Linked DNA regions of Tamandua tetradactyla. The protein of the gene in region 1 binds, or shares a complex with, the protein of each later gene. Links are inferred from orthologs where the notes say so. Each region holds a gene or a part of one and is shown on either strand. Other genes may lie near its edges. The genes, in order: DISP1 and SHH.

Region 1 (16,191 bases):
TAGAGAAAACACATCCTCCTATAAAACATAAATCCATTGTTTTTACAAGGAAAGTTTTGCTTTAACCTTTTCAGGCCATAGCTAATTTCTTCTTAGGAAAGATGTATGCTTATGAGATTCAGAGCTGAATATTAATTTTATTACCTACCTAGTGGTGAGATTTTCCAGTTAGGAGTAGAATAGACTACTTTCCTATATGTCTATTTTAGTTACCAAACCATAGAGTGAGATTTTTATTGAAAAGGAAAGGCTCATTTAACTGGTAAAGTTGGAATTTAGGAGGTGAAGCTTTCTCTGGCAGGAGCATCTCTGCTTAGTTGTGATTATACTGGGGAGAACAGTCAGCCAGGTTTGAGAACCAAGCAGATATGTGGAATGCCCATTGCTTTTGCAGAAAGACAGACATGAATTGGACTTTAAAATTATCAACTTGTGTATAAGCTCACCCAAACCTTCAATTAATGAATACTATGCAAGCTTCCTTGTTGTGTTTCTCTCTTTTATGCATGGCATTTCCATTTTTTGGTCTTAAATGGGTTTGCAGCAGAAATCTCTCATTAGTATATAATGTGGAAATCATATTTAATTTGAATTTCACAGGAGAAAAGAGTTAAATAAGGCATATTTTATTTCTATTTATAAATGTGTTTAACTTCAAGGGGTATGAATATATGTTAACATATCTTTATGGGAAATACGAATCAACAGAATTAGACCAAAATATGAAAAATCACGTATATACTTTTTTCAATTGAATTGGTATATTTCTGGGGCAGCTCCCTTTTCAGGAAGGAAAACACCACCTTAAATTTTAAAAGATTCGTCTTTCACTTTAGTCTAAGTGATGTCATTAGATCACAGAAGATTGGAATCTACATAGAAAATCCTTTGCCGTAAGCACCATGCAGTAGAGTTTGGAATTATTAATTGGACAGCACTGGCTGAACTTAATTATCTCTGGATTCATAATCTGTAATTAATGCAATTTTGCACCAAATAGTTAATAATGCAGAGAAGTGCTGTTATGGTTGCCTCCAAGTTTAGAATAGTGGATTCCAAATTACTACATGTTCAAAGGGAAGAAGATATAGTTTTAGATATAACTGCTGATGACGTTGATGGTGAAAAATAAAGATAAGGGAAAAAACTTTTATATGTACTAAAGAAAATGGAGAACATGTAAATCAAGTTTATAAACAACCAACCTTATGTTAACTAGCCCATCTGTTTGAGCCAGTTGGTGAATATCAAAAAATGTATGGAAAATTTTCCTTATAGTTTTCTCTCTCACTTCAGAGTAACATGCCTATTAACCACTGTCACTCACCATGTCTCATAAATGTTTTCTGAACAGTTCTCAGGATGCTGCAGTCAGCCCAATGCCAGTATATAAATACAGATCAACTCCAAAGGCCAGGAGGTAGATGTAGGTAGGTCAAATCTTACACTTTTAAGTACCTTACAGGAGCCTCTTTAGGGTATTGCTCTCTGCGCCCGAAGTTACCTGATCCACAATAAGAGTAGGGCCCTAAGACAGGGAAAGCAGGCAGAACGGTGGACTGGGAAAGAGGAGATCTTAAACTGGTTCTGTCTCTGGGTCTACTGAGCTTTTTGACTGGGAAAACCACTTTGCCTAGCTGGATTTTAGTTCCTTTCTCTATAAAATGAAACATTTGTGATACATGGTTTCCAGACATAATATCTTATGAGTCTACGATTCTCCCTACCCATGTGATTTTAACACTAAAGCTGTCAAACCCCTTGGAAATTGTGTCAGATTTCTTGTGAAAGGAGCAGGAAGCACTGAATGTTTGTAAATCCTCTTCCCGCCATTGGCTTGGTGGGAGAAACTGGCTCCAAACTCTTGTGAGAAGAGATGGATGCTATGGGATGGATAGGCACACTTGTGTCTTGGTAAATTGATGGCTTGGTGTTTGAATACTAGGAACAGAAACCTACCAAAACAAAAATTAAGCAAAATGGTAAACTTACTGGAAGTTTACAAAATTTCATAGAATTTAAGGACAGGAAGTTTAATTGGATGTAACAAGAGACTGGGATTCAAAACCCAGAAAGATGAGAACTAAAATTATTACCTCTATGAGATAATTAATTTTTCTCTTCCTATTTCTTCTTTCTCTCCTCCTTATTATTCCTCCTTCTTCCTCCTCCTTCCTGCTATTTATCCCCTTCTTTCTCCACCAGCTTTAGATATCTTGCTCATGTCTAACTCAATTCTTTGTTTACACAATATTTCTATCTAAATATAGAGAAGACTGAGCTGGTTTGAATCTGTTATGTAACACATGAAAGACTATGCTCTTTTGATCCATTTTTGTGGGGGCAGACCTATGGTGAGAACTTTTGATTAGGCTATTTCAATTGAGATGTGATTCAGCCCATTCAAGGTGGGTCTTAATCCTTTACTGGAGTCCTTTATGAGAGGATAAAGACAGAGAAGTTTGGAGGGAGAAAAAAGAAACACCCAGGGATATTTGGGAGAGCCACTGAAACCAGAAGTAGGAGAGAAGTACCAGCAGACATTGTTATACGACTTTCCATGTGACAGTGGAACCCTGGTTACCAGCAGCCTTTCCTCAAAGAGAAGGTATCTTCCTCTTGATGCCTTAATTTGGACATTTTCATGGCCTTAGCACTGTAAATTCGTAATCTAATAAATCTCCATTGAAAAAGCCAACCTGTTCCAGTTTGCTAGCTGCTGGAATGCAACACACCAGAGACGGATTGGCTTTTAATAAAAGGGGATTTATTTTGTTGGTTCTTCAGAGGAAAGGCAGCTAACTTTCCACTGAGGTTCTTTCTTACGTGGAAGGCACAGGATGGTCTCTGCTGGTCTTCTTTCCAGGCCCCTGGGTTCCAACAACTTTCCCCAGGGTGACTTCTTTCTGCATCTCCAAGGGCCTGGGCTGAGCTGCAAGTACTGAGATGAGGAATGCCGAGCCGCTTAGCTGTACTACATTGCGCTCTCTCATTTAAGCACCAGCCAATTAAGTCAAACGTCACTCATTGCAGCAGACACGCCTCCTAGCCGACTGCAGATGTAATTAGCAACAGATGAGGTTCAGGTACCATTGGCTTATGTCCGCAGCAACAAGACTAGGTATGCTCACCTGGCCAAGTTGACAACTGAATCTAACACACAACCCATTTCTGGTATATTGCATTCCAGTAGCTTACCAAATCAATACAAAAACCAAGAGGAGGGACAAAGTTGGAGCTCAGTGCACAAACTCTAAAATCCATGCATGAGAAACTCTCCTAGCTCTATTTGGGTTAAATATCCACAACTGGTCCAGTTTGTTGCACTAATGAATAGAAATATGGATCATTTGGCTCAGTGCCCATTTACTAGAGGTCCTGGGGGCACATTACCTGAAACAAGAATGTGATATGTGCATTCTCCTTAAAACTAGTTTGGGGGACTTCCGGAGAAGATGGCGGCTTAGTAAGATGCGCGGGTCTTAGTTCCTCCTCCAGAAAAGCAACTAAAGAAACAGAAACAATACGAAACAGCTCCCGGAGTCACGACAGAGACCAAAAAGACAGCGTACCCCATTCTGGAACAGCTGAACGGGCAGGGAGAATCTGCTGCGGTGAGATACCCGAGAGGCGCGCGTTTTCCCGGCCGGGGCGGCTGGCGACTGGGGTCCCCTCCACGCACGTGGCTCCCCGGTCTGACTGGGAACATTGGATAGCGGGGCCCTCCAGTCACGCTTGGCGTTTCAGGCCAGCTGGGCAATTAGGACCGGCACTCTCCCAAGCCGCGGCGGCCAGCGACCCCCGCCTCCACGCGCGGTTTCCCTGGCGACTGCCGTGCAGACAGACGAGCGCCACGAGCGCCACCTACTGGGCAGGAAAAGAAAAACAGAGCCCAGAGATTTCACAGAAAAAGCTTTCAACCAGCTGGGTCCCACACCCAGGGAAATCTGATCAAATGCCCAGACACCAACAGAAAATAATGGATGACGCTCGGAAAATTGAAGATATGGCCCAGTCAAAGGAACAAACCAATAGTTCAAATGAGATACAGGAGCTGAGACAACTAATGCTGAATATACGAACAGAAATGGAAAAACTCTTCAAAAACCAAATCAATAAATTGAGGGAGGACATGAAGAAGACATGGGCTGAACAAAAAGAAGAAATAGAAAATCTGAAAAAACAAATCACAGAACTTATGGGAGTGAAGGACAAAGAAGAAAAAATGGAAAAAACAATGGATACCTACAATGGTAGATCTAAAGAGACAGAAGCTACAATTAGTGAACTGGAGGATGGAACATCTGAATTCCAAAAAGAAACAGAAACTATAGGGAAAAGAATGGAAAAACTTGAGCAGGGGATCAGGGAACTGAATGACAATATGAAGCGCACAAATATACGTGTTGTGGGTGTCCCAGAAGGAGAAGAGAAGGGAAAAGGAGGAGAAAAACTAATGGAAGAAATTTTCACTGAAAATTTCCCAACTCTTATGAAAGACCTAAATTTGCAGATCCAAGAAGTGCAGCGCACCCCAAAGAGAATAGACCCAAATAGGCGTTCTCCAAGACACTTACTAGTTAGAATGTCAGAGGTCAAAGAGAAAGAGAGGATCTTGAAAGCAGCAAGAGAAAAAAATCTGTCACATACAAGGGAAACCCAATAAGACTATGTGTAGATTTCTCAGCAGAAACCATGGAAGCTAGAAGACAGTGGGATGATATATTTAAATTACTAAAAGAGAAAAACTGCCAACCAAGACTCCTATATCCAGCAAAATTGTCCTTCAAAAATGAAGGAGAAATTAAAACATTTATAGACAAAAAGTCACTGAGAGAATTTGTGACCAAGAGCCAGCTCTGCAAGAAATACTAAAGGGAACACTAGAGTCAGATACGAAAAGACAGAAGAGAGAGGTATGGAGTAAAGTGTAGAAAGAAGGAAAATCAGATATGATATATATAATACAAAAGCCAAAATGGTAGAGGAAAATATTATCCAAACAGTAATAATACTAAAAGTTAATGGACTGAATTTCCCAATCAAAAGACATAGAATGGCAGAATGGATTACGACCCAGCAATACCACTGCTAGGTATCTACTCAAGGGACTTAAGGGCAAAGACACAGACAGACATTTGCACACCAGTGTTTATAGCAGCATTATCTACAATTGCAAAGAGATGGAAACAGCCAAAATGTTCATCAACAGACGAGTGGCTAAACAAACTGTGACATATACCTACAATGGAATATTATGCAGCTTTAAGACAGACTAAACTTATGAAGCATGTAATAACATGGATGGACCTAGAGAACATTATGCTGAGTGAGTCTAGCCCAAAACTAAAGGACAAATACTGTAAGGTCCCACTGATGTGAACCGACATTCGAGAATCAGCTTGGAATATATCATTGGTAACAGAGACCAGCAGGAGTTAGAAACAGGGTAAGATAATGGGTAATTGGAGCTGAAGGGATACAGACTGTGCAACAGGACTAGATACAAAAACTCAAAAATGGACAGCACAATAATACCTAAGTGTAATGTAACTAGGTTGGAACACTGAATGAAGCTGCACCTGAAATATGGTTTTTTGTTTGTTTGTTTGTGTGTTTGTATCTTTTGTTTTTGTTTTTTTTTCTTTTTCCTTTATATATATATATATTATTAGTATTATTATTTTAATTCTCTTCTCTATATTAACATTCTATATCTTTTTCTGCTGTTTTGCTAGTTCTTTTCCTAAATCGATGCAAATGTACTAAGAAATGATGATCATACATCTATGTGATGATACTAAGAATTACTGAGTGCATTTGTAGAATGGAATGATTTCTAAATGTTGTGTTAATTTCTTTTCTTTTTTTTGATTAATAAAAAAATAAAAAAAAACTAGTTTGGTTGCAGTTAAGCAAAATAGGATGTTGAAAGTATATAGGCATATATCATGTAATCAAAGGAAACAGAGCAGGCTCAGAGTCCTTGGCAAAGAGTGTTTATAGATCTTTTTAGAGCACTGCCATTTGTATGATTCAGCTTTAATGGCAAGCTTCTCTCTGTTTTCCTATTCCATACTTAAAATTCCTGGAAGGAAGATTAATTTGTTAACATGGTCCCGTTTTCCTAGGACTATCCCATTTAAGCACTGGAAGTCCAGCATCCTGGAATCCTCCTCAGTCCTTTTAAAACTAGGATGGTAGTCACCCTACAGTTTGGTAATTTGTGTTTATGTAGTCTTAGAAATGATTGTATCTGTGTATTGGGGCCATTCCTACATAGAGGGAATGGTGGTGCGCTAGAGAAACATCCCAAAGAATGCCTATCCTATTTTAGTTTTTGACTGCTCAGCACAAGTGCATACACATACAACTCTCTCTTCTTCTTTCAAAGACATTCCTCTCCACAATATGATTCAATAGTTTCATGTATCACCACAGATAAACTGCTGACTTCCCCAATGGTAGAAAACACAAAGTTGTGTCGTTTTACCCCATCTGGAGATGATGTTGTGCCCTCTGAGTCCTGCTTCTCTACATGATATCCATTCCTCCTTTTTCTCCACCATAGTCCTATCTCCATATACTGTAACATATTCTATTGCTGACAAAAAGAAAAGGGAAAAGAAGGAAAATTTTATATTATACTATTTCTTTTTAAAAAGGAGATGGTGGGACTTGCTGTATGAGAGGATATTTATTAAACATCAACAACAAGCAAAAATATAGCAGCAGATGTGACGGTATTCATTGCTGTAGCTGGTAATGAAGTTTCTTCTTCCTCTGTCTTTTCCTTGTGCTTTCAGCCTGTATCTCGGTTGGTTGAGGTGCTTTGTCCAATGGAGCAACCTAAGAGGTATGAGCCTTGTGGTCCTGCCTGTATGGGATCATGGTAGTTGTCCATTATCTCTACCTGTGGATATGGCACTTCAAGAAAGCATCCTTGAGGGTAAAATGCTCTACCCATGATCTCTCATGTTTTTTTCTTCTTTTATTTTTTTTTATTACCAGGCCAATCACCCTGGTCAACCCAATGACACTATTTTGTGGACTTAGAGGGCCCTACTGATTTCCTGTTGGGTACAGTCTACACATTATTTAGTGTAACTACGATAGTCTTCACGATCTGGCCTTGCTTCTTCTTGTGCTTGTTCTTGCCTCCATAAGCTCAAGTCTTGCTAAATTAACTGTACCATACCCTCCAGCTCCCTGAACAAGCCAAGTTCAGAATCCCTGGCATCTTGCTGTGCATGGCCTTCTCCATCTTGTCTGCCCCCTAACTATTGTTCATCATTTAGTTCAGTCTCAACCAAAAAGTTATTATCTGTAAAAGCCTTTTCTACCCAGATCCTTACCTCCCCCATTTGCTAATTTTGACCCATAGCACTGCCATAGTTCCTCTAAAATTTGGTCATTTTATTGCACTTGTTTGCTCATCATCTGTGCCCTTTATTGGATGAAGCTTCCAATGAAGCTGCTGTTTAATTTATTTTATGCCTAGTTCATTGCCCTGAATGTAGTTCTATGAAAGCAGAGGCACTAGTCTGTTTACTGTTGTTTCCCCAGCTGCTACTGTAGTGCCTGGTTGTTGAGTAAGTGATGTACAGAAGGTAATAAAAACATTTAATTAATGAGTGAAGGAAGAAGTACTGCCTCTTGGGGCGAAGTCATCTTTCAACTAGATGATGAGGACAGGAGTCAGTGTTGTCGTCAACCTGTTTCTCAAAAAAAGTGAGCAGAGCAGGTGCTTGGTCAGACATTGGCAGACTAGTTAACTGATCCACTGGAACCGGAAGGAGCAAGAGAGAAAGGCGACTTTTGGGATCCTGACCCTCCGACCCAAGTCCCTCAGACCAGGCCCCCGCAGGCAGCGGCAAACCCGCCACTCTCTCAGTCTCTGCAGGTTCTCACCGGGACCCCACAGCCTCCAGCCAGCAGGTCCAAGGAGAGGGGGCAGGGGTGGGACATCCGGTCCCGCCCGAGAACGACTTCCGGCTCAAGGCGGAAGCCGGGCTCCGGGCCAGGATCCGCGAGCCGGGACTGGAGGTGAATTCGGAGCTGGAGTGTTCCACGCTCTTGTCTCTTCAACGAATGTCTTTTGGCTCTGCCACCGGCCGTTACCTTGGGACGAGGAGATCGGGTAGGTATGGGAGAGTTGGGACTCTCCTAGGGTCGGAGAGAGAGCCGGGACCCTGGGGCTGACGGAGGGAGCCCGCACTGGAGCCAGGACCGGGGGCCTGGGAAGGGGAGAAGAACCCTGAGGGCAGCTGTGAAAGGCTGAGAAGAGGGACACCGGAGACCGGGGGTTGCGAATGATTCTGAGCAGAAGTGCATCTTGGAGGGAAGCTGTCCCGCGTGGGGGAGTGTCCCGGGTGCTGGCTGATCGCGAGTCTGAGGGTTGCACAAAATGGCAAAGATTGGATTCCAGCGAAAGGATTGAGAGGAAGGGATCCGTCCTTCTCTCAGGGTCGAAGATGAGAGGGCATCTTACCAAATGTATTAGAAATATGACTAGCTAACTACCTGCTGGAAGCTGAACTTGTACTGCTTCACTTGAAATTAATGCTGTTTTTTTTTTTTAGTGTGTGTTTTTTTTCCTCTTGTGTGGATTTCGGGAAAATATTTTACTATCCCAGGGAAAACTTTAACTCATCTTTACCCAGTCCCAGCTTATACTGCTGTTGTTTGTCAAACTGATAGTACTTTAAAATTCTCTTCTTGCAAACAGACCAACCAAAGATTTCCCTTTGGTCTCTTCTCTGCAAAGTGTAGGTTTTCTTATTTTCTTTATCACTTGATAAACCCTTATATAACCACGGTGATAATCATATGAAAACCTGTGCTGTCGAGATTTGCATTTCCAGTTCATTGTCTGTTGTTTTTCTGTCAAACTTTCTAACACTTCTTTTCTAAAAGTTATCCTATTGGGTTTTGTTTTTTTCACTTTAATAAAAAAGGGCAAGTTTAGATTAGGGTGCAGCAAATTACTAGCAATGCCTAAGAATTTATTCCTTTTTATTTCGCTACAAGGAATATCTATTATCTATATCTATGCTTTAAAAAATAGTTAAAACTCAATATTTGTTGTTATATACATATTAGCACATTTAGTTTTCCTTAATGACTTGTGTGTAGTAATATTGGGGGGGTCTTGTTTTTATCATTAGCAGAAGGTAATTATTAATTTCAGTTATTGTTTTCATAGTATTTATGTTTTATGGTAGCGTTTAGTATACATTACCTAATTTGCATAATTTAGTGTCTTGCTTCAATGCATTTATGAAGATTCTTAGCTTTTATGTATCTAGTAAGTGAAATTGGAATTTTGCTGCGATCTGTGCAAGGTAGCTAGTTAAACCATTTCACTGGTGAATGGTGATATTTGATGATTGTTTTGCATGTTTCACATGCTTGATATTTCAACTGTTAGAATTTTTATTTTTTAAAATAACTGTTTTGGTACAGGTAGCTTAGATCTGATTTGGTGGTCTTCCTTGAACTCATTCAAGTAAACTAGAACGTTTGGTCTTTATTGGTCTTAGCATCTTATTAGCTTATAAACTTGTGATGGTCTTGAAGATCTATGCCTTAGTAGATAGGGAGTTATAATTTTCTTCTATTTAGAGGCACAGCAGATATTTGCAAAAATAGAGTAGTGCCTTAACAGAAACAGTGCTTAAGCATGTATGTGAACATACTGAATAATTTTTCAAATCAGAAATTGTTACACTGATCTCTGAAGTTATTGAATTAACTATGTTGATTTCTATGCATTTCTTAATTTTTTTGTCATACTCTTAGTGATTACTTAAAAAAATTCTGCTCTGTTTATTAATCTCTTCAAGTTTGTATATCCAGTGTAGAAACTGGCATAATAACTTTGAATTACCATTCTTTTTTTAAAAAATATTTTTGTTGACAAATCTTCATACACCTACAGTCTGTATATGGTGCACAATGGCTCACAATATTATCATATAGTTGTGTATTCATCACCACGATCATTTTTAGAACATTTGCATCACTCCAGAAAAAGAAATAAAAAGAAAAAAGAAAAAACTCATACATCCTATGCTCCTTACCCCTCCCTCTCATTGACCACTAGTATTTCCATCTACCCAATTTATTTTAACCTTTACCCCCACTATTATTTATTTATTATCCATATTTTTTTACTTATCTGTCCATACCCTGGATAAAAGGAGCATCAGACACAAGGTCTTCACAATCACGCAGTCACATCGTAAAAGTTATATCTTTAATCAGTCATCTTCAAGAATCAATGCTACTGGAACACAGCTCAATAGGTTCAGGTGCTCCCCTACAGCCACTCTAATACACCATAAACTAAAAAGGGATATCTATATAATGCATAAGAATAGCCTCCAGGTTAACTTCTCGACTGTGTTTGAAATCTCTCAGCTGCTGAAACTTTATTTTGTATTGTTTCTCTCTTTCCCCTTTTGGTTCAGAAGGCTTTCTCATTCCCACGATGCTGGGTCCTGGCTCATCCCAGGAGTTCTGTCCCACGTTGCCAGGGAGATTTACACCACTGGAAATCATGTTCCATGTAGGGGAAGGGCAGTGAGTTCACATGCTGAGTTGGCTTAGAGAGAGGCCACATCTGAGCAACAAAAGAGGTTCTCTGGGGTGATTCTTTAGGCATAATTTTAAGTAGAATATACCTTAATTTTTTAAAAAATATTTTTATTGTAAACAACAAACATACAAACATTCTTGACATACAAACATTCTATATGTGGTTTTTATCAGTGGCTAACAATATCATCACATAGTTGTGTATTCATCACTGTGATCATTTTTTTGAACATTTGCATCTCTCCAGCAAAAGAAATAAAAAAGCAAAAGGAAAAGAGTCATACATGCCATGCCCCTTACCCCTCCCTCCCATTCATTGGCCACTAGTATTTCAATCTACTCAATTTATTTTAACCTTTGTTACCTCTATTATTTGTTTATTTATTATCTATATTTTTAAATCATCTGTCCATACTGTAGATAAAAGGAGCATCACACGCAAGGTTTTCACAATCACACAGTCACATTGTAAAAGCTATATCATTATACAATCATCTTCAAGAAACATGGCTACTGGAACACTGTGCTACAGTTTTAGGTACTTCCCTCTAGCTACTCTAATACACCATAAACTAAGAAGGGGATGTCTATGTAATGTGTAAGAAAAACCTCCAGGATCACTTCTTGACTTTGTTTGAAATCTCTCAGCCACTGACACTTTATTTTGTCTCTTTTCCCCCTTTTGGTCAAGAATGTTTTCTCAGTCCCTTGATGCTAAGTCTCAGTTATCCTAGGATTTCTGTCCCATGTTGCCAGAGAAGTTTACACCCCTGGAACTCACTAGGGCAGTGAGTTCACCTGCTGAGTTGGCTTAGAGATAGGCTACATCTGAGCAACAAAAGAGGTTCTCTAGGCTGACTCCTAGGTATAATTTTTTTAAAACTTTTTTTAATTGTATAGTATAACATATATACAAAATAAAGAAATAAAAAAGCAATAGTTTTCAAAGTGCTCTTCAACAAGTAGTTATAAGAAAGATCTCAGAGTTTGTCATGGGCTACATACAATCCTCTCAGATTTTTCCTTCTAGCTGCTCCAGAATACAGGAGGCTAGAGGGCTTAAATTTTTTTTCCTTCTTTTTTTGTGAAAAATAACATATATACAAAAAAGCTATAAATTTCAAAGCACAGCACCACAATTAGTTGTAGAACATATTTCAGACTTTGACATGGGTTACATTTCCACAATTTTAGGTATTTACTTCTAGCTGCTCTAAAATACTGGAGACTAAAAGAGATAACAATTTAATGATTCAGCATTCATATTCATTTGTTAAATTGTATGTTCTCTGTATAACTCCACCATCACCTTTGATCTTTCCATCCCTCTCTTTAGGGTTGTTTGGGCTATAGCCATTCTAAATTTTTCATTTTGGAAGGGTCTGTCACTAATATGGGGTAGGGAGATGAAATTATCTGATTTTCTGGAGAGGCTGGGCTGGGTTTCAGAGCTTATCTGGACCAGGGACTCATCTGGAGGTTGTAGGTTTCTGGAAAGTTACTCTACTGCCTGGAACTCTTGTGGAATCTTATATGTTGCTCTCGGTGTTCTTTAGGATTGGCTGGAATGTTCCTGGTTGAGTGTTGGCAGGTTATGATAGGTAGCAAGGTCTAACTGAAGCTTGCGTAAGAGCAACCTCCAGAGTAGACTCTTGACTCGTATTTGAACTCTCTCTGCCGCTGATACTTTATTAGTTACACTTCTTTTCCCTCTTTTGGTCAGGATGGAATTGTTGTTCCCATGGTGCCATGTCTAGATTCCTCCCCAGGAGTCCTCTCCCACATTGCCAGGGAGACTTTTACCCCTGGATGTCATGTCCCACATAGGGGGGGAGAGGAGTGATTTCACTTGCAGAATTGGGCTTAGAGAGACTGAGGCCACATCTAAACAACAACAGAGGTCCTCCAGAAGAAACTCTTAGGCATGTCTACAGGTAGTCTAAGCTTCTCTGCTACCTACATAAGCTTTGCAACAGTAAGCCTCATGATCAGGGCATGGCCTATTGATTTGGGTGTCCCTGGTTTGACACAGTATCAGGGGATTCCCTGATGGTAAAGTTTAATAGTTTTATATTCTTTCTCCCATCCCTCAGGGGACTTTGCCAATACTTTTTGATTATCTGGTTAATATACTCTAGGATGTTTCCAGGCATTACAATAATCTATACAGGATTAAGTGACCTCTTTCTTATTCTGGGCTTCCTGTGTTTCAGCTATTCAAATAAACTATACAGATAGGTTGAGTTAGATTATGCACTACAGCAAATTTCAGTTGCAGACCACATAAACCTTTCTTGCATTGGTCTCAAAGAGTATGTATGATTCTAAAATGTAGGCACTATCTTCCTTTACCGCTGTGTTCAGAGGTACTTTAAACCTAACCTGTTCAGCTTCATTCTTGTCTGTAAATATCAGGTTAAATATATAAAACAGCCTCTCAAAATGCAAAAATAACAATTGCCACTCTAGACTTAAAGTGTCTGCTCTAAAAGCTTACAATCTAGGCCCCTATTTTCTTATAACCATTTTCTGAAGGTAACCAAACCATTCTTGTTCATTTGTTTCTGGCTTCCTTTGTCTCACCAGATGTCCCACATGTTTATTCGCATCGTTGCATACCTCATGACGATGTTCCTTTTTGTAGCAGCACAACCTTGGTTCATAAGTATACACCATTGTTGGCCAATCTACTTCTCCGTCCATGCATCCTTCAGCCACCTGCATTCATTGGGCATCATGTAGAGGGCTCAAAGTCAACAGTCCATCAACATTCTCAATTGTAAATAATTTCATTGTTCCCAAAAGAAAGAAAACCAATAAACATACCCTCACCAAATAGGAAATCTAAACCTCCTCTTAACTCTTGTTCCTCCTCCCTGTTATTTACCTCTCTTGTTGCTGTGGTAGTGCTGATGGTTTCCTTTTGAACATAGCTCATAGCATGCAATAGCAGTTTCCCCCTGTACCCTGGACTTAAACACTGTTTGTACAAGAATCATATCTTTGAAGTAATTCTTGCAAGAACTAGTTCATATTTCTAGTGTTAATCAGTGTGACATGTAGGTCTATAGAACCCCTTTCAATCTTGGTAATTACAATATGGTAATATTACTTATAGACCCACTAGAGAACCACCTTTACTCCTATATAGTCCCTTACATTGGAGTTCAAAGTGTCTAATCATCCCAAATAAAACTGCAGTCCTGTTAGTGGGGACTAATCTATTCTGCTACTTATCCCATAATTCTTGGCAAATTTTCCAGCCTCTAGGCATGACTATGACCCACTTGTTGAGATTATTGTTATAAGTAGTTTTAATACTAAATCAAAATTGTTTGGATTTTATTACTAGACTCTTTTCTATATGGACTCTACCTAATTTTGCTTAGAATGAAGCATTATTAATTTTATATTTCTAATAAAATGATATGATATACCTCACAATTTTTAAGTACCGCAGAAAATACACTGATTCCTCTTAGCCTGTTGTTATTTGTTTTCTTTGGCTTGAGAGCCTAAGAAAAAGAAGAACCATTGCATAAAAGATTTGGGCAGGGCTAGGGAGGTTGACCAGTACCATACTAAGGGGTGCTAGTGGGAGTTATCTGCCATGGTGGGAAGATGTATCTTAGCCCAGAAGTTCTGTAGAATGGCTAGTGTATAAAGAGCAGGCATTTAGTTCATTTTATTATTGTTTTTAAATTCTCTGTAGGTAGTGTATCCTTTTATTGCCTGTATCTAGGACAAACCCTGTGCACTTCTTATGAGAAAGACCAGTAGAGTCTTTTGAAGTCAATGTTGATATGACTTCATGGAGAAGTTTGGGGATGGGTTGAGCTGTGACTTGAAGAACAGGTACTGATGTTTATTTTTGTATGAGTATTTACAGTGCTGAGAGGTTGAGGGCATGTTGATTGATGGGAACCTTGTAGCTATGAGAACATTGTAGATCTAAAAAGACCAATTTCTAGAGCATTATCCTGGGGTGTGGGGACAGGCCATAAGATAATAACTATCAGGGTTAACCCCTTCTATTTTAAACCTATGTGTTTTAGTTTGTTAAAGCTGCCAGAATGCAATATACCAGAAACAGAATGGCTTTTGAAAAGGGAATTTATTAAGTTGCAAGTTTGCATTTCTATGGCCATGAACATGTCCAAATTAAGGCACTAACAAGAAGTTACCTTCATTCAGGAAAGGCTGATGCCATCTAGAACACCTCTGTTAGCTGATAAGGCACATGGTTGGCGTCTGCTTGGGTCATTGGCTTCTGGACATCTCTCAGCTGAGAAGGCACATGGCGACATCTGCTTTCTCCCCCTGCTGCTTCATACTGCGTACCCAGGGGCATTTTCTGTCAGCATTTCCAAAGGTTGCTGTCTCCATGGGCTCTGTTGGCGTTGAAGCTTTTTCCAAAGTGGTTCCCTCTTAAAGGGCTATGGTAAGTGACCCCACCTTAAATGGGTGGAGACACGTCTTCATGGAAACCACCTAAGCAAAAATTACCACCCACAACTGGGTGGGTCACATCTCCATGGAAACAATAAAAAAGATCCCACCCAGCAATATTGAATGAGGATTAAAGAACATGACTTTTCTGGGGTACACAACAGTGTCAAACTGGCCCACTAATGACTATTTCATAGTAATTGAATAAAATTGCAAACGTAAAAATAGTACAAAGTATACCCTTTATCCAGATTCACTTATTGTTAGCATTTTACCCCATTTGCTTTATCACATTAAAGTAGAATGCTTATATAAAGCCTACTCCCAAGCTGAGTTGTTAATGTTATTTCTCCTCTGAATAAGCAGAGGAGAAATTGGCTCCAATACACTGAGCTAGAAAGGAACTTGGAAGAGGACATGATTTAAGTCCCTTAAGCCTGGTAAATATTGATCAATTCGGGACAGGTAGATTTTGTTTTTTAACTTTTAGTTTGAAATACTTTCAAACTTACAGGACAGTTACAAAATTGTACAAACTCCGTACAGGGAACTCCAACATATTTGTATCCCCCTTCCAGATACTGAGATCCATCAGTTTTAATGTTTTCCACATGTCAAATCATTTTGTCTCTCTATCAATCCATTTACCTGTCCATATATCTGTCTACTTATAAATACCCATTTTCAGAACTCATGAGTTTTAGGTTTACATCATACTTTTGAACACTTAACTACTGACATGTACATTTCCCAAGAACAAGGATATTCATTTATATAACCACCTGAAGTGCAGTTACTAAGTTCATGAAATTTAATATTGATATGTCCATAATTCCATTTTTTATATGCCCCAGTAATGTCCTTTTGAGTCTTCTCTCCTTCCTTGTTAGAGCCTGTTTTAGATTGCAAGTTGCCAGGGTGCGATATACCAGAAATGGAATGACTTTAAAAAGGGGAATTTATTTTGCAAGTTTACATGTTCAAAGGCTGTGAAAATGTCCAAATTAAAGCACGGCTATGGAAATGTCCAATCTAAGGCATCCAGGGAAAGATAGTTTGGTTCAAGAAGGCTGATGATGTTCAAGGTTTCTCTCTCAACTGGGAAGGCACATGGCAAACATGGCGACATCTGCTAGCTTTCTC
Region 2 (15,724 bases), on another chromosome or scaffold:
GCTTCTTAAGCCCTAAATGAGGTGAAGGATCTAGGCCAGACCTCGCTGGAGGGACAGGGCTGCCTTCTCTCACCAGGAAAGTCCTAGTCTCCGTCTGCACACCCCTCCCCCCACCTTCTTCCCCGTCTCCACCACCTGCAGTGGGACCTCCGGAAACGGGGTGGGGGTGGGGGTGGGGGTTGCGCGAAGGAAGCTATGTGCCCCTCTGCATCTGGGCTTGGGGAGAAATCTCCGGGCCTCTGTGGAATTAAAGAGGGGGGCAATTCCCGGCTGGGCGGTATGATCCCACCACAGAACCACTAGTCATCACCCCAATTCCCCTCCCTGCCTTTTCTTCACGCTCTCCACCCCTCACCCCGCCATTTCTCTCTTTCCCTTGAATGTCAGCCCATCCGGGATCAAGCTGACTTATCTGGTGGAGCAGATCTGGCGATTCTGGGGGTGGCGTGGTCGGCGTGGGGGTGGGCGGGCGGGGGTGTAGGGAGAAAGGTGGGGCTGCCGCCCTTGGCCTTACCTGCTTTCACCGAGCAGTGGATGTGCGCTTTGGACTCGTAGTAGACCCAGTCGAAGCCGGCCTCCACCGCCAGGCGGGCCAGCATGCCGTACTTGCTGCGGTCGCGGTCTGACGTGGTGATGTCCACGGCCCGGCCCTCGTAATGCAGCGACTCCTCCGAGTGGTGGCCGTCCTCGTCCCAGCCCTCGGTGACCCGCAGCTTCACTCCCGGCCACTGGTTCATGACTGAGATGGCTAAGGCGTTCAGCTTGTCTTTACACCTCTGCGGAGAGAAGGGGAGGGAAGCCCCAGACAGACAGAGACGTCAGCGTCCCTCGAGCCTGCGCCACCCGTGTCCTGTCCCGCTACTACCCGGGCCCTGCCTGCTGGGCCACCCGGTCCCAGGCACAGCGCCCTTCACTGGAGGCAAAGCTGCGCAGTCGGCAGGGCCAGGTGGTCCCACAGGGGCAAGAGGTGGGTGGGGAAGAGGGGAGATCAGGGCATGGAATGGGGCCCAACCAGCTCAGACTAGAAGGCACTGGGCAGGGTCCTCTTGGGATTGAGCCTTTCTGCAGATTCTGAAATAGCGAATGCTCATATTGTGGTCTGAGATGCAGATGAAGTTTCTTTGAAAAAAAAGAAAACTACCTGTTTTCAGACAATGATCCCAGAATCCATAGTGCACCCCCCTCCCGGATTGCCCTCTGCTTTGCCAGTTCCCTTTCTGTGGTCACAGTTCTCCACACCTGCGCAAGGCTCCACCCTTCTCCTTGGGCCAAATCTCTCACTAGGACCCTTGGTCAGAGGTTCATGAGGAGGCCAGGGAGGCCCAGGGTGCAACTTTGCAGAAATAAAGAAAAATCCACTGCACACTTCTAAAAGAATTAAAAGCCTTTCGTTATCTCTGGACCCTCCCTCTTACCCCTGTACCTATCTGAGGTGAAAATTAAGCCAAAGGTAAGAGAGGGAGGTGGGAAGCTGATAGCAAAGCTTAAGGGGTGGGAGAGAGCCAGAGCAAAAAGCAACCAGGTGAGTTATAATTTTCAATATGGGCCGGGGCTGGGATGACAAACATTCTTTATCTGGACAACCACATTCTTTTTCTCTGTGGAACTCTTTTCTGCCTGGGTTTTCTGTGGTCTGATTGTGTTTCTTGTTTTCTTTAACCTGTTCCCTTCCTCCCCTCTTGTTTTCTTGGCCCCACTGTAGAATGGTGTCCTGCAAGTTTGAAGAGCAAACTTAAGAGGTGAAGGGGGGGCGGTGAGTGTGTGGATCAAGCCGGGACTTTGTGTGTGAAAGGGGTTGGGGGATGGGAAGCCAGGGAGAAAAATGTCCTCACCAGAAAGACCAAGGCACAGAGAGGCCCGAAGGCCTTGGGAAGCCTTCCTCTCAGAGTGGCCATTCTGATCCCCTTTCCTGCCCCCACCCCAAGGAAGGTGCTTGTAGGAGTAAAGAAACATTGGATAGCCTCGATAGAAACTAAGGTAAAATGGAACTTGAGGTTGTGATATCCCCTCCGCCCCAATTCTCCAGTAATATGGATCAAAAAGTCTGACTGACTCCAGAGTACCTGTGTGTGGTTACTAAATTCACTATCTGGGGATTTCTGTTGCTGTTAGTGGGATGGGGGCTTTAAAAAAGAGGAAATAGTGACAAAATGAGGGAGGTATCCTTTTGAGAGGCAGACAGAAGCAGAGGCAAGAGTGAACAATTTAAGTTGATTTCTGCAAAGGGTAGGTCTCTAATCTCCTCCAGGACAGGTAGGATGCTGGGGTTTTCTAAAACAACTCTTCCCAACAGGAGTACCAGGATAGAAAAATAGCCTCTATTAAGGACCTTAATAATAGCGTATGGGAACTCTTGCTAAGGGGTAGGGGAAAGAGAAATCTTGTTAGAAGAACTGCTGCCCACTTTTTAAGGGGACAGGTCAGATTGCTCAACAGGAAAAGTTCTGTGTATTTGGCAGCAATAAAAAACCCAGTAATATAGTTGTAGAGTTAAATATATAACAAACGGGTGGGGGTAGAGGGTTGGGGGTGGTCCTGGTAACAGGTCAGCTCTTGCAAGTTTCTGGGCCTGCTAGCTCTTTTCTTCCTTAAAAAAAAAAAGAGTTTGAGTGAGGTCATCTTGAGGATTGAACGCATTTTACATGAAAATCAATCAGTAAACCAGGGTCAGTTTAGAGCTGGGATGTGAAGCCAGGGTACGCGCAGGCGCACACTCACCAACAGGCACACAAACACACACCCCATCCGGAGCCTTCCCCCCTCAGCTCCCTTCTCTGGGGGAAGGTGAAGAATTAAGCAGCTTCCCAGAGTGCAGCTGGGGAGGGGGAGGGCAGGATGGGGAGGACTCAATCCCACCTCCCCAGGCACCTAGAACTGCGCCACTTGGGCCACGCAAGGAGCCGCAGGCCGGGTCAGGCCTGGTGAGTGGAAGTGGCAGCGCTGGGGACCAGCCGAGGCCGGAGTTTGCACCCAGTCCCCTCTCCTCCCCGCCCCGGCCGGCTCCGCGGAATTCTTCCCGGCCCAAGGGCCAGGCGCGGCCTCCGCCGGCGGCTGAAGGACGGCCCTCCGCCCTGGCTGAGCTGGATTGTCGCAGGCAAAAGCCGTGAAGCCCTAGCCAGTTATTAATTCATTGGGTCGTGTGCCACGAATCAAGCCCGATTCTGTGCAGTCACCGTGAAGCCCAGCAGGGCCGCCCAGGCTCAGGCTTTGTGTCCACAGAGGCAAAGTTGTTCAGCACGCCTCAGCTCCCGGCCACACTTCCTAATCTCCACACAAACGGATCGCGCCGAGGAAACACTTAGCAGGTACCTGTCATTGCAAACAGCTGGTGGGCTTCCTCCCCCACCCTGTGCCGGGGTTGGTGGCCAGGAATCCGAATTTCAAAAAGAGCCCCCCAGTCCCCCAACACCCTCCTCCCCACACTCACGGGAAAAACCCTCCCCAGACCCACACCTTGAACGCCTTCCCCAGCTGGCTGCAAAGCAGGCAGGAAATTTATTTAACGTGGCCTTTCAGGCTAATCCCCCAACTTCAGCCTCCAGACTCGGTCCTCGCTGGCCTCCTCACCCCCTCTCAGCGCCCCCTTGCCATCGGCACCCTCCAAGTGCACCCCGTGGGCCTGCGCCTGGGAGAGTGTGTCTGTCTGCTTTCCCTCTTTTCCGAGTTAATATTAACCAGGAGCTCATGCGTTTAAGAACCGCTCTGAAAGTTCCACTGGGGAAGATCTTGCCATGGTTGACGGACTTGGGCAGCGGTCACATTAGAGGGACACAGAGACACACCTAGAGACCCGGGGAGAGACTAGCTAGAGAAGCAGAAACGCAAGGCATACACCTGAGAGCAGAATCTAGATGTTTACTTAAAAATGAGGAGCCCAGCGGGTGAGCAAGTTCTCTGAGGAGCCCCTAAACCCTCTCTGGGCCTCGGAAGCATTTCCCTGCACCCACTTCAACTCCCACGGTCCCTGCCCCCACGTGACCCAGGTCCTCGGCCTTTCTCCTCGCATCCCTATCTCCACCTCCGCCTCCACTTTTAACTCTGAATCAGAATACGGGAATGTTACAGGAGGGATAAACCAAGGGGCACATTCCGGGCTGCCCTCCCCCCCCAACAGCCACCCAGGTTTTTAGGGTACCTTTGAGGGGTCAGTGTTGCAATCCTGGCCTGGCTCTCCCTACCCCACCCCGCTTTGGCTGCCCCTCCCCCCTCCTTTTGTGTTGGGAACGGGAATAGCCACTGCTGAAGAAAAAAGTATTTGTTTTCGTTTCGTTCGTCTGAGGGAAGTTGACAGAAGGTCAGAAGTTCAAATGCTGCCAGCTAATGCGGCGGCGAGAGTGGCAAGGCGTGGGGCAGGCCCGGCCCTGGCTTCCCCGGGAAGGCAGACGGGGCGGGGGGCTGGAGCCGGGGGACCAGAGGGAGAGAGACCGTGAGGGGAGTCTCGTGGCGCGGAAGGGGCCGGAGAGACCCGGGCGGCGCGGGAGCTCGGCGCAGCGACTGCGCGAGGAGCAGCCCCAGAGAGCCGCAGCCCGCGGAGCCTGCGCTGCGCTCGGTGCTCGGCCCTTTAACCGCCGTCACCACACCCCTGCCTCCTCCCCGCGCCCGCCGCGCCCCTCCCCCTGCGCCGGGCTTAATTACGATGATTAGAGCACTATTATTATTATCGCTACAGTCGTGGTTATGTAGCTAATTCCTGCCTGTGCGCGTGGAGGGGCAGGGAAGGGACCGTGGCGGCGGCCCGAGCCCCAGCTTGGCCGCACAAACTGAAACCCTAGCCGTTGCGATCGATAAAAGAGGAGTAAGTGGAGCTGAAAATGCGTCTGACTTGGTGCACAGCTCCGCGGGCTTGCAGTTTCCAGAAGGGAGGCGAAGACCCAGGGCTCGGAGCAAGGGCCGCGGGGCTGCGCTCCGGGTGCGGGCCGTGGGTGGGGTGGGGGACCCGTCTCTCCGCGCGACAGCCTCCCACAGACAAGGGCAGACGCTGACCCCGCTCCGACTCCGAAACCTCCAGTGTCTCCGCCCCCGCTGCTTTCTCCCGCGTCTCCTCCCTCCTCCCGGGTACTGAGGGACCCGGGGAAGGCTCCAGCCGGGGAGCGAGGCTGACCAGGGGATAGGTGCTGCGGGCGATCCGGAGAACTCACTCCAGCTCGCTGCACGCATCCTGCACACCGTGGCCTGTGCAGAGTTAATTGTAGCTCCAGCTTCTATCTGGCACAAGCGCGCGCGTCCATACTCTGGGTCCAGATTTAAGGTGGTCGGAAGCAGATGGGAGAGACCGAAGGATAAGGATCCTCTCCTCCACTTCCACTCATCCCACATCTGCTAGCTGGAGCTAGCAACCCTGGCTGTCCCCTTTCCTTATTCAGCTTCACTAACAAGCCCAGGAATCGGTTGGGAAGAGGAGCGGCCCCCAGGTATTTAATCTATTTCTCCTCCTCCTTTCCCTTGCACTTGTGCCCCACCAGCGCCGCTCAGTTAGCCGCTGTGCATGTCTAGCCCTAAAGGTAGGACTTGAATATTTTAATAGGGCAATAAAAATGATGTTGACCTATATTTGCGATGAAACCCATTTCTAGCTGCAGTCATATATGCACGGAGTTTCAGAAAGTCTAGAATAGGGTAGGTTTGCAGTCCAGATGGTTCAAAGGAGGTGGGGATGTACGTTTTGCTTTGGCTCTCTTTTCCAGCCCCCTTCCCACTGTTATTTATTTGCTCATAATTCCTATGCAAGCTGATTAAAAACTAGAGTGATGCAATGCCAATAAGTTCTAAGTCCCTCCCCTAAGGTACCGCGGGCTTGGGAGAATGAAAGAGCATCCTTAAAGAAATATCAATATATTCACACTCGGATGGGCACAATTGCAAACGACAGAATCGCAATGCAAGCTCTGTGATTCAGTCATGGACCAGGCAGAGCTGCTTCCCCCCACCCCAAGCCATTGCCTTTTGTCAGAACCGCCTCCTGGCTTTAGGAATTGAGGATTCCTTGGTGGGGGGCAGTGGGGTGGGGGCAGTGGGGTGGGGGCAGTCGTGGGAAGGAAAATCACAGAGGAGAGGGGAAAGTCTAAGCTTTGAGATTTAATGCTCAAAGCACATTTGTAACAGCGACATGGGGGAGGGGGGCATCACTTTTTGTTTATGGGGGGATTCCCGCCCCCTCCCTCCATTCCCACCCCCTCCCCTTGGTAAAGTGGCAGACTTGGAAAAGGCAGAAATCCCGAAAGTGAAGATTTCTCCAAGTTACCAGCCAGAACAGGGCACCAGGGGGAAGGCCAATCCCAATAAGACAGAAATCAAAGTAGGGCCATAAATGCAATCACATCTCCTACCATCCTCACTCCCATCCACACCCTAAACTTCTCCAGCTGGACACATTACCTCCATTCCTCCAGGAAGAGGAAGCGGGTGGTAGGTGGGTAGGTGGGCGGGGAAGGAGAGGGTGAAATCGCCTTGAAATCTGCTTAAAAAGCAAAGAGACTAAGTCTGGAACTGCTTCGTTACACGTAAACCCCTTTAAAGAAACACATTCCACGCCCCAGAGCTGGGTTTCTACCTGAGTCATCAGCCGGTCCGCTCCGGTGTTTTCTTCATCCTTAAATATGATGTCAGGATTGTAATTGGGGGTGAGTTCCTTAAATCGCTCGGAGTTTCTCGAGATCTTCCCTTCGTATCTTCCACTGGCCCCAAGGGTCTTTTCGGCCACATTGGGAATAAACTGTTTGTAGGCTAAAGGGGTCAGCTTTTTGGGGTGCCGCCTCTTCCCAAATCCCCTGCCGGGTCCGCACGCCAGCCCTGAGTACATCAGGAGCGAGGAGGCGAGGACCATCAGGAGACATCTCGCCAGCAGCAGCATCTTGTCCATGGAACCCAATTACTTCAAAGCTTTCCCCGTGTGTCTCTGTGTGAGCGTGTGTGCACGCGTGTGTGTGCGTGTTCGCTCTTCTCTTGCGCTCTCCCTTTCTCGCTCCGGCTCGCTCTCTCCCTTGCTCTCTCCCTTGCTCTCTTTCTCTTCCTATATAACCTTGCCCGCCGCTGCTGCGTGGGACTCTCCACCGATCCCCAGCCAGACAGGTGCTGGAATGGCAGGCTGCCGGTCGCTGATAACGGAACACATCGGAGTTGGGTCGCGAGACAGCAATCAAAAGACAAAAAGAGTCTGATTTTAAATGGTAGCAAGCCTAGAGACGCTTGTGAGAGAGGCTGCCTTTAGTACTATATTATAGCTGGCAGGGGCGTATCTGATTGGCCAAGGCAGCACAAGCTTGTCTTCTGATGTTTAACCCTCAAAAAGGCTACATTTTTTTTTTCTGTTGCTGCTGCTGCTTTATTTTCACCTGAAGGCTTCGAGTAAAAAAAAAAAAAAAAGAAAAATCTTTACTAAGACAAAGGTGGGTGGGAGGGAGGAGGCATATTTCTTGGGATAACATCAATTAAACCCTGCTTTGTGTGTATCTATGTGTTTCCCCCCTTTACTTCTTGGGAATGGTAGATGCTTCGGTTAAAACCAACATAAGTTTATAAAGGACAGTCTAGACCCCCCTCCCAAAGCTTTGATCATCAAACAAATATTCTCTGAAAGGTTTGAGGGGCAAAGCTGCCTAACTCTTATTTAATTTTTTTTCAGAGGCTTTACCATGCAGGCCAGGTCTCCCTACATTTTAAAGGAAGAGAAGTCTGAGTCTCCTCTTGAGTATTTAGCATCCTCCAAAGGAGGGCAATTACGAGTGACCACAACTTAAAGTACTGCTATTTGAGGTGCTTTAACTGCCTTAGAAAAACTTTAAAATATGGTTACCTTATTTTTTTTTAAATGAATGCATTGCTTTTAAAAACTCTGAAAATGGGATAAGAGTGGATTCAGAGGCAGGTAAAGAGCTTGGACAGTCAGGTTTCATGGGCAAAGTGGGTACCCCCAGCTCACTGAAGGGAACCTCTGCTTGTGTGTGTGTGTGTGTGTGTGTGTGTGTGTGTGTGTGTGTGGTGGGCGGAGGCTCATTGTGCCTGGAGGGCAGCAGAGAGTGGGCAAGGCTTTGCAAACACCACCCCCACAGATCGATCAGAGCAAAGTGCAGGGCCAAGGGATGAGTTTAATGCTAAATTAAGGCTCCTTGACACAGTGTGCAGTGCGGGCTTTACATGGAACTCTCCAAGCTACATCTGAGGAATAAGAGCTGGCCAGGTCATGGGCTGCAGCCAAAAGGGCAGCAGGGGACTAGAGGAGGTAATGTTGTGGTCAAATAGGGGCATCCTAGAAGACAGCATAACATCCAGAGGATAGCAATATCTAAGTCTCAGATCATGCACATCTTTAAGAAAAACACACGCACACACACAAAACAAAACAAAAACCCATCCTCATTAAACCAGAAAAATAAAATATGAAACTCTCCCTTTTTGCATAACATGTCCTCCTCCTTTTAGCCCCCTTCATTTCACTCATATGCAATATTCCCTCTGGAATGGGGCAAGGGAGGGGGGTTATTCATGTGGAATAGAAATACTGACCCTGATTGTTGCCCTGTGTAGCTAAATGTTCTCCCTTGACCTCAAACCTTCGGAGTGGAGCGAGAAGAGTACAAGTCTGAAGGTTCAACCCTCAAAACAATGGAGAGGTTCCAGCAGTTCATGCAATTTTCCTTTGACCATAAACATTTTTTGGGGTGAGTGTGTAAGGGGGATCTTAAGACACATCTAATTTCATTGTCACAGAGATTGAGCATTATCAAGACTCAGACAGTTAATGCCCCTCTCCCAGGGTTTACACAATTCCCTCCACCCCATCGCTATCCTTTTTCTATTCTATTCTATGATTTTTGAAGAATCAAAGTATTGATTCTTCAGGAAGAACGCTGACCTCTGGGCAAGGTGGGAAAGCAATGCCTAATTTATCAAGGAAGACTGAGAAGAAAGAAGAGTTTTCCAATTAGTTGAAGATGACAGAATTCGGCTGATAAATCCCGGGTTTAACTATTTGTCCAGGGTGAGTGTGTGTCTGTGTGCGAGTCTTAATTGTGTATGTTGTGTGCTCCAGGTAAAAACAGATACCAAAAATGATATTATGCTCTATACCAGAGGGGTCGGTTTGTTTGATGTGGTTACCTCGTGTAACACGTGTTGATATAATATCACTAAAAAGCGCCGAGGCTTAAGAAGTGATCTGGACCGTGTGGGAGACTTGAAAACCTTTTGATCACCCTCCCCCTCATTGGCATCTCCTGCTGTCCCAGTCCCTTCCCTTTTCCTGCTCTTTTTCAACTCTCGCGCCCTCACTTAAAAACCTAATAAATGCAAAAAGGCGGTAGCACCCGGGTTGCGATCCTGCGCCCACCGCGCAGAGGGCGTGCGGGCCCCAGGCCGGGGAGACTCTTCTGGCTCGCCGGCCGCGAGTCCACAGAGCGGCCAGCAGGGCTACTGCAGCGCAGACACGCTGGGGAGGCGCCCGGCCAATGCCAGCAATAAACGCACGTGGAAAAACCTTAAAGCTCCAACAGGCAGGGTGTGGGGGCCTTGTGTTTTCACCTCGGGCTGAGGAAAGTTCGGGGTGTGGGGTGGAGGTGAGGGTCACAGTGGGCAGCAATTTGACTTCGGATGCTCCGCGGAGCTCTCCGTTTCAGGAGAGAGCAGAGAGTGACTCCAGAGGCAAGGTCTCCTCCCTCTTAGGGGATGCGAATCGGCACTGCGCTGGGGCTACCCTGGAAGTTTCCCAAGCTGGTCAGGCCTCCCCTCCCCTGCCCTCCCCGGGAGGGACGACACCGACACCGAGGCCACAGCCCTCTTCTCCACCTCTCGGTTAGCCCTGGAAAACTCCGGAGGGCCGGCCTCCCCGGGGAGTTGGCCAGATCCTCATGACTGAAATGATGATGGAGAAATCACCATAAAATCCTCCACTGAGGCCTTATTTCAGAGGGTTGCCGCCTGTCGTGAATTGGGGGAAAATATGGGCGAAAATCAATAGCCGTTTATATTTATTGCCGTAGAAACTCAGGATTCTGTACTGCAAGGACTCCCAGCCGAGTTACCCGAGTTACCCGGGGAAACTGCGGTCTCCGCGCCACCCTCCCCCCTACCACTTCCCCTTTCCTTTCATCTCACCCACTTCCCATTTCCCAGACACCAGACACTCACTCTGTCTTCCACCTCCAGACACCAGATGGCTCCCTCTCTTTGCCTTTCCCCCTCCAGACAATTCGGGCCCCTCCCTATGCCGGTCAGAGGTTCCAAATCCTCCTGGTCTGTGCGCGACACGGCCAGACCTCCCGCACAACCCTCGGGATCCATTTCTGATTTCCAGGGCTCTCCCCTTCTTTCTGGGGGTCGTTCATATCCATCCAAACTTCTCTCCATCTATCTACTCATCCATCCATCTCTCTATGCATCTACTCACCCATCCCTCCCTATTGAGGACTGAGGGCTGCCTCTGTCTTCTGCCCCCAGCCCCCCAGAAGGCGCCCTTCTTCTGAACTCAACCTTTTTCTCCCTTCCGACCCCTGCCGCTAGATGGCCTCCTCACTCTGCCTTCGGTTTCTGGAATGTAGCGCTCTCTCTGGCTTGGGAGTGTTTGGTAAATCAGTGCGGAGCCAGGTTGGGAGGCCCTAGGAAGTGGGGTGGGGGTGGGGGTGGGGGTGGGTGTCTAGCCTCGTTAGTTCATCCTTCCTTGATCCTTGTAGCCAGTATCTGCGACGGTCTACCCCCTCCTCTGCCTCCCTCCATCATAGATTTGTACCCTCCCAGCAGGTAGATGAGAGCTCTGAGGTCCCTAAATCCCTGTCTATCACTTTTCTCCTGCCCTCTTATTTCCAGTCTCTGGGTTCTGGTTCTAATCCTACATTTCCTGTTCCCCACGTGCCCTCCCTTCCTTGATAGCTTTTCCTAATAATAATTCTACCCGATCTCTTCCTATCCTATCATCCAATTTCAGTATCTTTCCAGTTTTGTTCCAATTTTGGCAAATCGAATTTCTGTTGGTATTTCTTGCTCCGTTTCTCCTTCATTTGCTAGCCAGGGACCTCCTCTGTACTTTGGAGGGATGTGCTCTTTAGCACTGTTCTCCTAATCCCAGGGCATGTCCCTGATCAGTCTACTGGGGGGAAAGGATGGATGAGCCCCTGCACTGGGTGGCTTGTGAGCTCAGAGGTGGCTCAGAGGCCCAGGACCAGCCTCTGCTCTTCAGTGGTGGTAACCGAGAAGCAGGTGAAGAGAAGCGGTGGCTCTTCTCCCTTTTCTAGATAACTATACAGCAAGGGCATGGAGCTGGGTTCCCCTCCATCTACTCCCTCTGCCATGACGTTCTCAGCAGCGGGTTCACATACCTCCATTCCCACTGCCATGGAGATCAGGCCAGAGGTGGCTGTGGCAGGAGCAGCTGGGGAAGCTGCAGTCAGGACAGACAAAACAGCTTGGCTGGCAGAGAGGAGCTGGACTTGGCTGATGCTCGATGTGTGGGACTTTGCTGGCGAACGTTACTGTCACTCTACAGTGCACTGCAGAGGTGGTCAAAAGGTGCTGCAATAAGGGACAGGAGACCCAAGGCACAACTCCTTCCCCGACTCAGTAGCACTGTAAGCTCAGGCAAAACCTTTGATCTTTCTGGGCCTCATTTACACTCCCTGAAGTAAGAAGGTGGTGCAGTTGATATCCTGAAGTCTCTTTTTTATCTTTGTGTTTTATGGTTCCAATCTTTATTCCTGCCAGTTTTGTTCACCAAATACTTGTTGGGCACCCATCAGGCACTAGAAGCTGGGGCCTCCTAGTGAAGAGGCACAGTTCCAGGCAAGTGTAACTTTCAGTTTGTTTTCTTCCCATATGACACGGAACCTCCTGGGTTGGCATACTAATGGTTCCTTCCCCAGAACTTTCGTATTCAGCATCTCGTTTGCTCCACAGATTGGGGACCAGTAGAGCAGGTATTGATATCTGGGTTTTACGTGCTAGGAAAATTGAAATGCAGTTTTTTGCTGACACTTGAAAGCTCACACTGCCAGCTAGAACAAATAAAGCTATATCTTATAAAAGTAGATATACTAGGTCAGAAAATATGAACATTCCACCTGAATTATGGTGCTTTATGAATTTGTGTTGAGTTTCTCTCTTCAGACTATTGTTCTGCCTCTATTTCACATAATCTTCAATTTAAGTGATGAGTATTTTTTTATTCCTAAATAATGTCTTAAGTATGTATAGCTACTTATTGTTTCCAAGAGGTTTCATATCCATCTATCCATAGGAACCTTAGTGACAACATTTGCAAGTTGGACAGGGAAGCAGGAAGTGGGCAGGTAGCCTTGTAATCCATTTACAGATCAAAAACTCACATAAATAAGTCAATGATGGAACTGGATCCCAAATCTAGTTCTTTTGATCCTAAATCTTGCATGCTTTCCCCAATACCACAGCCACCTAGAAATTCGACTGTGGGACTGCCATTCCTTAAATCTTTGAAACTAGTGAAGCTGCAGGTGCCCTGGGAATGTAATACATGAAACCCATAGTTCTAAATCCTGGCTGCACATTAGAATTGCCTGGAAGCATAAAAACAGCGGCGCCAGCAACAATTAACAGTGCCCAATGTCATCATCAAATCAGAATTTCTGTTTTGCTGCTTTCCCTGTTGGGAATCCCCCAAGCACATTATGGGGCTGGGCATGATAGGCTCAGTTAGGTTAGATTACAGATCCACCAGTGGATTCCCAGCCTCAGCACCCTCACCTGTCCTATTAGGATGCCTGTTTATCTCTGGATCCCTTCTGCCCCCTGGCCATTCCTGGCACAAAGCCTGACATGGCTTCACACCTTCAAGGTTGAGAGGGTTGGAATGTGTGCATGAGTTTCTGGAGAGCAGGTATTGGTAGGGGAGAATTGGGTGAGGTGAGTGTGTGTGTGTGTGTGTCCAGGAGAGTGCCAAGTACTTGAAGGGCTGCAGTGACTCAAGAGGAGTGGGTTAGAGAATGGGTTGGCCACAACGAATGACTTCTCACCAGAGCCACATGGGGCTGGGTCTTGGAGCAGGAATTAGGTTTTGAGATGCCTCTGCAAATCTTCTCTGGTCAGGAGGCTGTTCTGAGACTTGAGAGAAGAGAGCATCCTAGCTCACCATATTCCTCCATGGCCCCTCTCCAGGGATGAAGCTATGAAGGCCAATTTTTTTTTTTTACCCAGCTTCTTGCTTTTGCCTACTGCTGAAAGAACCTCCTTCCTGAGCTTTGCTCCTATGGCTCATTCTGCTACTCTTAAAGGGGGGTGGTGGTGGCTGCGACCCTTCTGGCAGCCAGCAGAACCCTTACCTCATCTGGGTAACTTCTATCCAAACATTTTCTTAAAAGGAAAAAAAAGAATGCAATGCTGGCACACAGAAAAAACAAAGGCCATTTCTTTGCAGGAGCAAAATTAACTGGGAGATTAATCAAGCAGAAGCTGGCAGTTTATGCCATAAGTTCTACTGAAAGAATTAGAGTGATCAAGAATGCTCTTATGTGTCTCCAACAATTTGTGGTATCCTTTTCCATTCCTCTTCTATTCCACCTCCACTCTGTCCCTTTACTCCCTGAACTTGTCACAATTCTGCTTGAGAGCAGCTGCACCCATTATTGTCTTGAATCTTCAAGTCAGAACACAGAGTCTCAAGCCCTTTGTGGCTCTATTCTCTAGAAAGACTTGAATTTCAGTGTAGGGTCAGTGAATATTTGCAGATGTTCCCTTACATGGTACTTTGGCAAAGGAGGGGTTATAATCTTTGTATGGAGTAAAGGGATTCATGAAGTTCTAGGCCCAGCTCTCTCCCTCCCAGCCACATGCTCAAGGGCAAGTTATTCAACCATGCAAAACTTCCATTTCTATACTTGTGAAATAGAAAGGAAATAAATGATACCAAAAGTTCATCCAGCTCTTAAATTCTGTAATTCCACAATCTTAATCTCAGAAGAATCAAGGGACGCTAGAGCTCTCATCAACTGTCTCTTTTTATAGTTGGAAAAACTGAGAATTAGACTTTGTCCGTCTGCCTACCCTACTGTGTATATAAGAATGGACTCCGAGCAGCATCCCTCTCCTTACCCATTAGATATTGGGTCCATCTGAACTCTTCCCACTCTGGGCCGATAATCAGCCTCCCTTCCAGGAGAGGTAGTTTCCCAAGAGCTTTTTTGGCTCTGTCAGTCACTCACTACAGCACCAGCCGAGCGTGTAGTATGGGGAGATGTTGGGGAAGAGGCATGTAGGTGACTCGCTCAGCCAACTCCTGTGCATAGCTGGGCCAGACTCACCCAAGGAGACAGGGAAAGCAGCAATGCTGGGAATTTGGGGGGGGGGCATTAAAACCCTCTCCCCTATCTTCTCCATCCCCTGTCCCCATCCTGCTAAAGAATATTTCCTTTCTTTGCCTTCTTCGAAGCTTTCTTGAAAGGGGTTAAAGCATACTTTTTTCTTAACACAGAAAATTAAGAGTCAGAAACTACGGAGGTGTCATTGGCCGAGGGCTGTTTTGATAGGAGAGACAGACAGAAATAGGTTTAGGGGAGGCTAGGGAAGGGCAGTGGGGAGAGAGAATGTATGGGGAAAAGGAGGCATTGGAAGTGGGAGGTGTGTCAAAGGTGGGAAAAGAGCATAGAAAGGGAAACTGAGAGTGATGAACACACAGTTATAACATTAGCAAATCCTTTAGGACCTTAATTACTAAGCAGCCTTCTTTGAATTGTTTGCATTGCCCTAAAACTTAAGAAAACTTGGGTGGGTTCTCCATGGCTTGTCCCTTCTTTTTCTTTGGCTGGGGTATTTGCACAGAGAAGGACCCATTTTTTACACAGAGGAATTTCCTGACTGGGAGACAGAAGCCTGCATTCCAGAGGGAGGCTGTATGTGGCACTTCTCAAGATCACACACAAAACCTCAAGGAGTAGCTAAGTCAATGCAGACTATTTGAAGCTCAGTGCCTTGATGGGCTCTGGCTTGGCAGAGCAGCAGAAAAAATGTTGCGGAATGCTCAGAGGGACAAAGGAGAGAAAGCTTCATCAGGGGAAGGAGGTATTATCACTCCCTCCTGGCTTTTGGCTCATGATCACCTACAGAATACAGGGGGTGGGCCCTTGATTTCTGGGGATTGCATTCTTTATTTGCTTAGCATCTCACCCAAAGAGCGGAATTCATCAAGAAGTTAAATCTTCCTTATAAATCTGGGCAATCATAACATTTACTTATTCTGTGTTTATTGTGTATTTTAATTGAACCTGTATTAAATTTAATTAATCATTGCAAAAAGCCCAATTGATTAGGTACTGTTGTACAGGTAAAGAGACTGAGGCACGGGTAATCTGGCTGTAGAATCTGCACTCTGAATTTCTGAGCTGGTAGCAGTATTTATCAAGGGTCTAGTCTGTGCTCAGTACTGTGTTGCTGGGGTATGTCTTTGTGTAAGGGGAGGGGTAGATAAGTAGTAAAAGGGCCCAATCATCTAGGAATACAAAGTCAAAGGCCAAGACCCATATGTGTAGGAAAATTAGATAACGCATAAAAGACAATGTAATAATGAGGGCCGAGACTTGTGGACTATGCAATAAGTGGTCCAGGGATTTTGAGAAGAGTAAGATAAAATTAGGAATTCCTGAGAACATTTTTCTCTTCTTCCTCTGTACTTGTGACTCCTAGTAAAGTTTACAAGGCTTGACCCCTTTGGATAACAATGATAGTTAGCTCTATTTAGCATATCATAATTTTTTTTTCTATTTTTTTGTCATGG

Evidence for each region.
Region 2: the proteins of DISP1 (region 1) and SHH are in contact, whole or in part, in a cryo-EM structure (PDB 7E2I), measured with the Homo sapiens proteins. The link is inferred for Tamandua tetradactyla from reciprocal best matches to the Homo sapiens genes DISP1 and SHH. Residues at the interface, in NP_001356523.1 of Homo sapiens: Lys242, Thr244, Gly245, Tyr246, Lys247, Ala248, Glu260, His265, Arg299, Phe336, Gly337, Asp338, Leu339, Cys340, Gln341, Arg342, Thr343, Glu459, Arg899, His904, Asp906; in NP_000184.1 of Homo sapiens: Pro49, Asn50, Val51, Thr55, Leu56, Gly57, Ala58, Arg68, Glu71, Phe73, Lys74, Leu76, Thr77, Pro78, Tyr80, Pro82, Arg96, Leu97, Gln100, Lys186.

What each region holds. Positions count from the first base shown.
Region 1 is NC_135328.1:138,680,071-138,696,261, reverse strand, and holds the start of DISP1 (protein dispatched homolog 1), read left to right. Parts: upstream 1-7,985; 5' UTR 7,986-8,091; coding exon 8,092-8,140; intron 8,141-16,191. UniProt on the Homo sapiens protein: Functions in hedgehog (Hh) signaling. Regulates the release and extracellular accumulation of cholesterol-modified hedgehog proteins and is hence required for effective production of the Hh signal. Synergizes with SCUBE2 to cause an increase in SHH secretion.
Region 2 is NC_135327.1:201,344,550-201,360,273, forward strand, and holds the start of SHH (sonic hedgehog protein), read right to left. Parts: upstream 7,318-15,724; 5' UTR 6,860-7,317; coding exon 6,551-6,859; intron 3,306-6,550; exon of another isoform or gene 2,772-3,305; intron 777-2,771; coding exon 515-776; intron 1-514.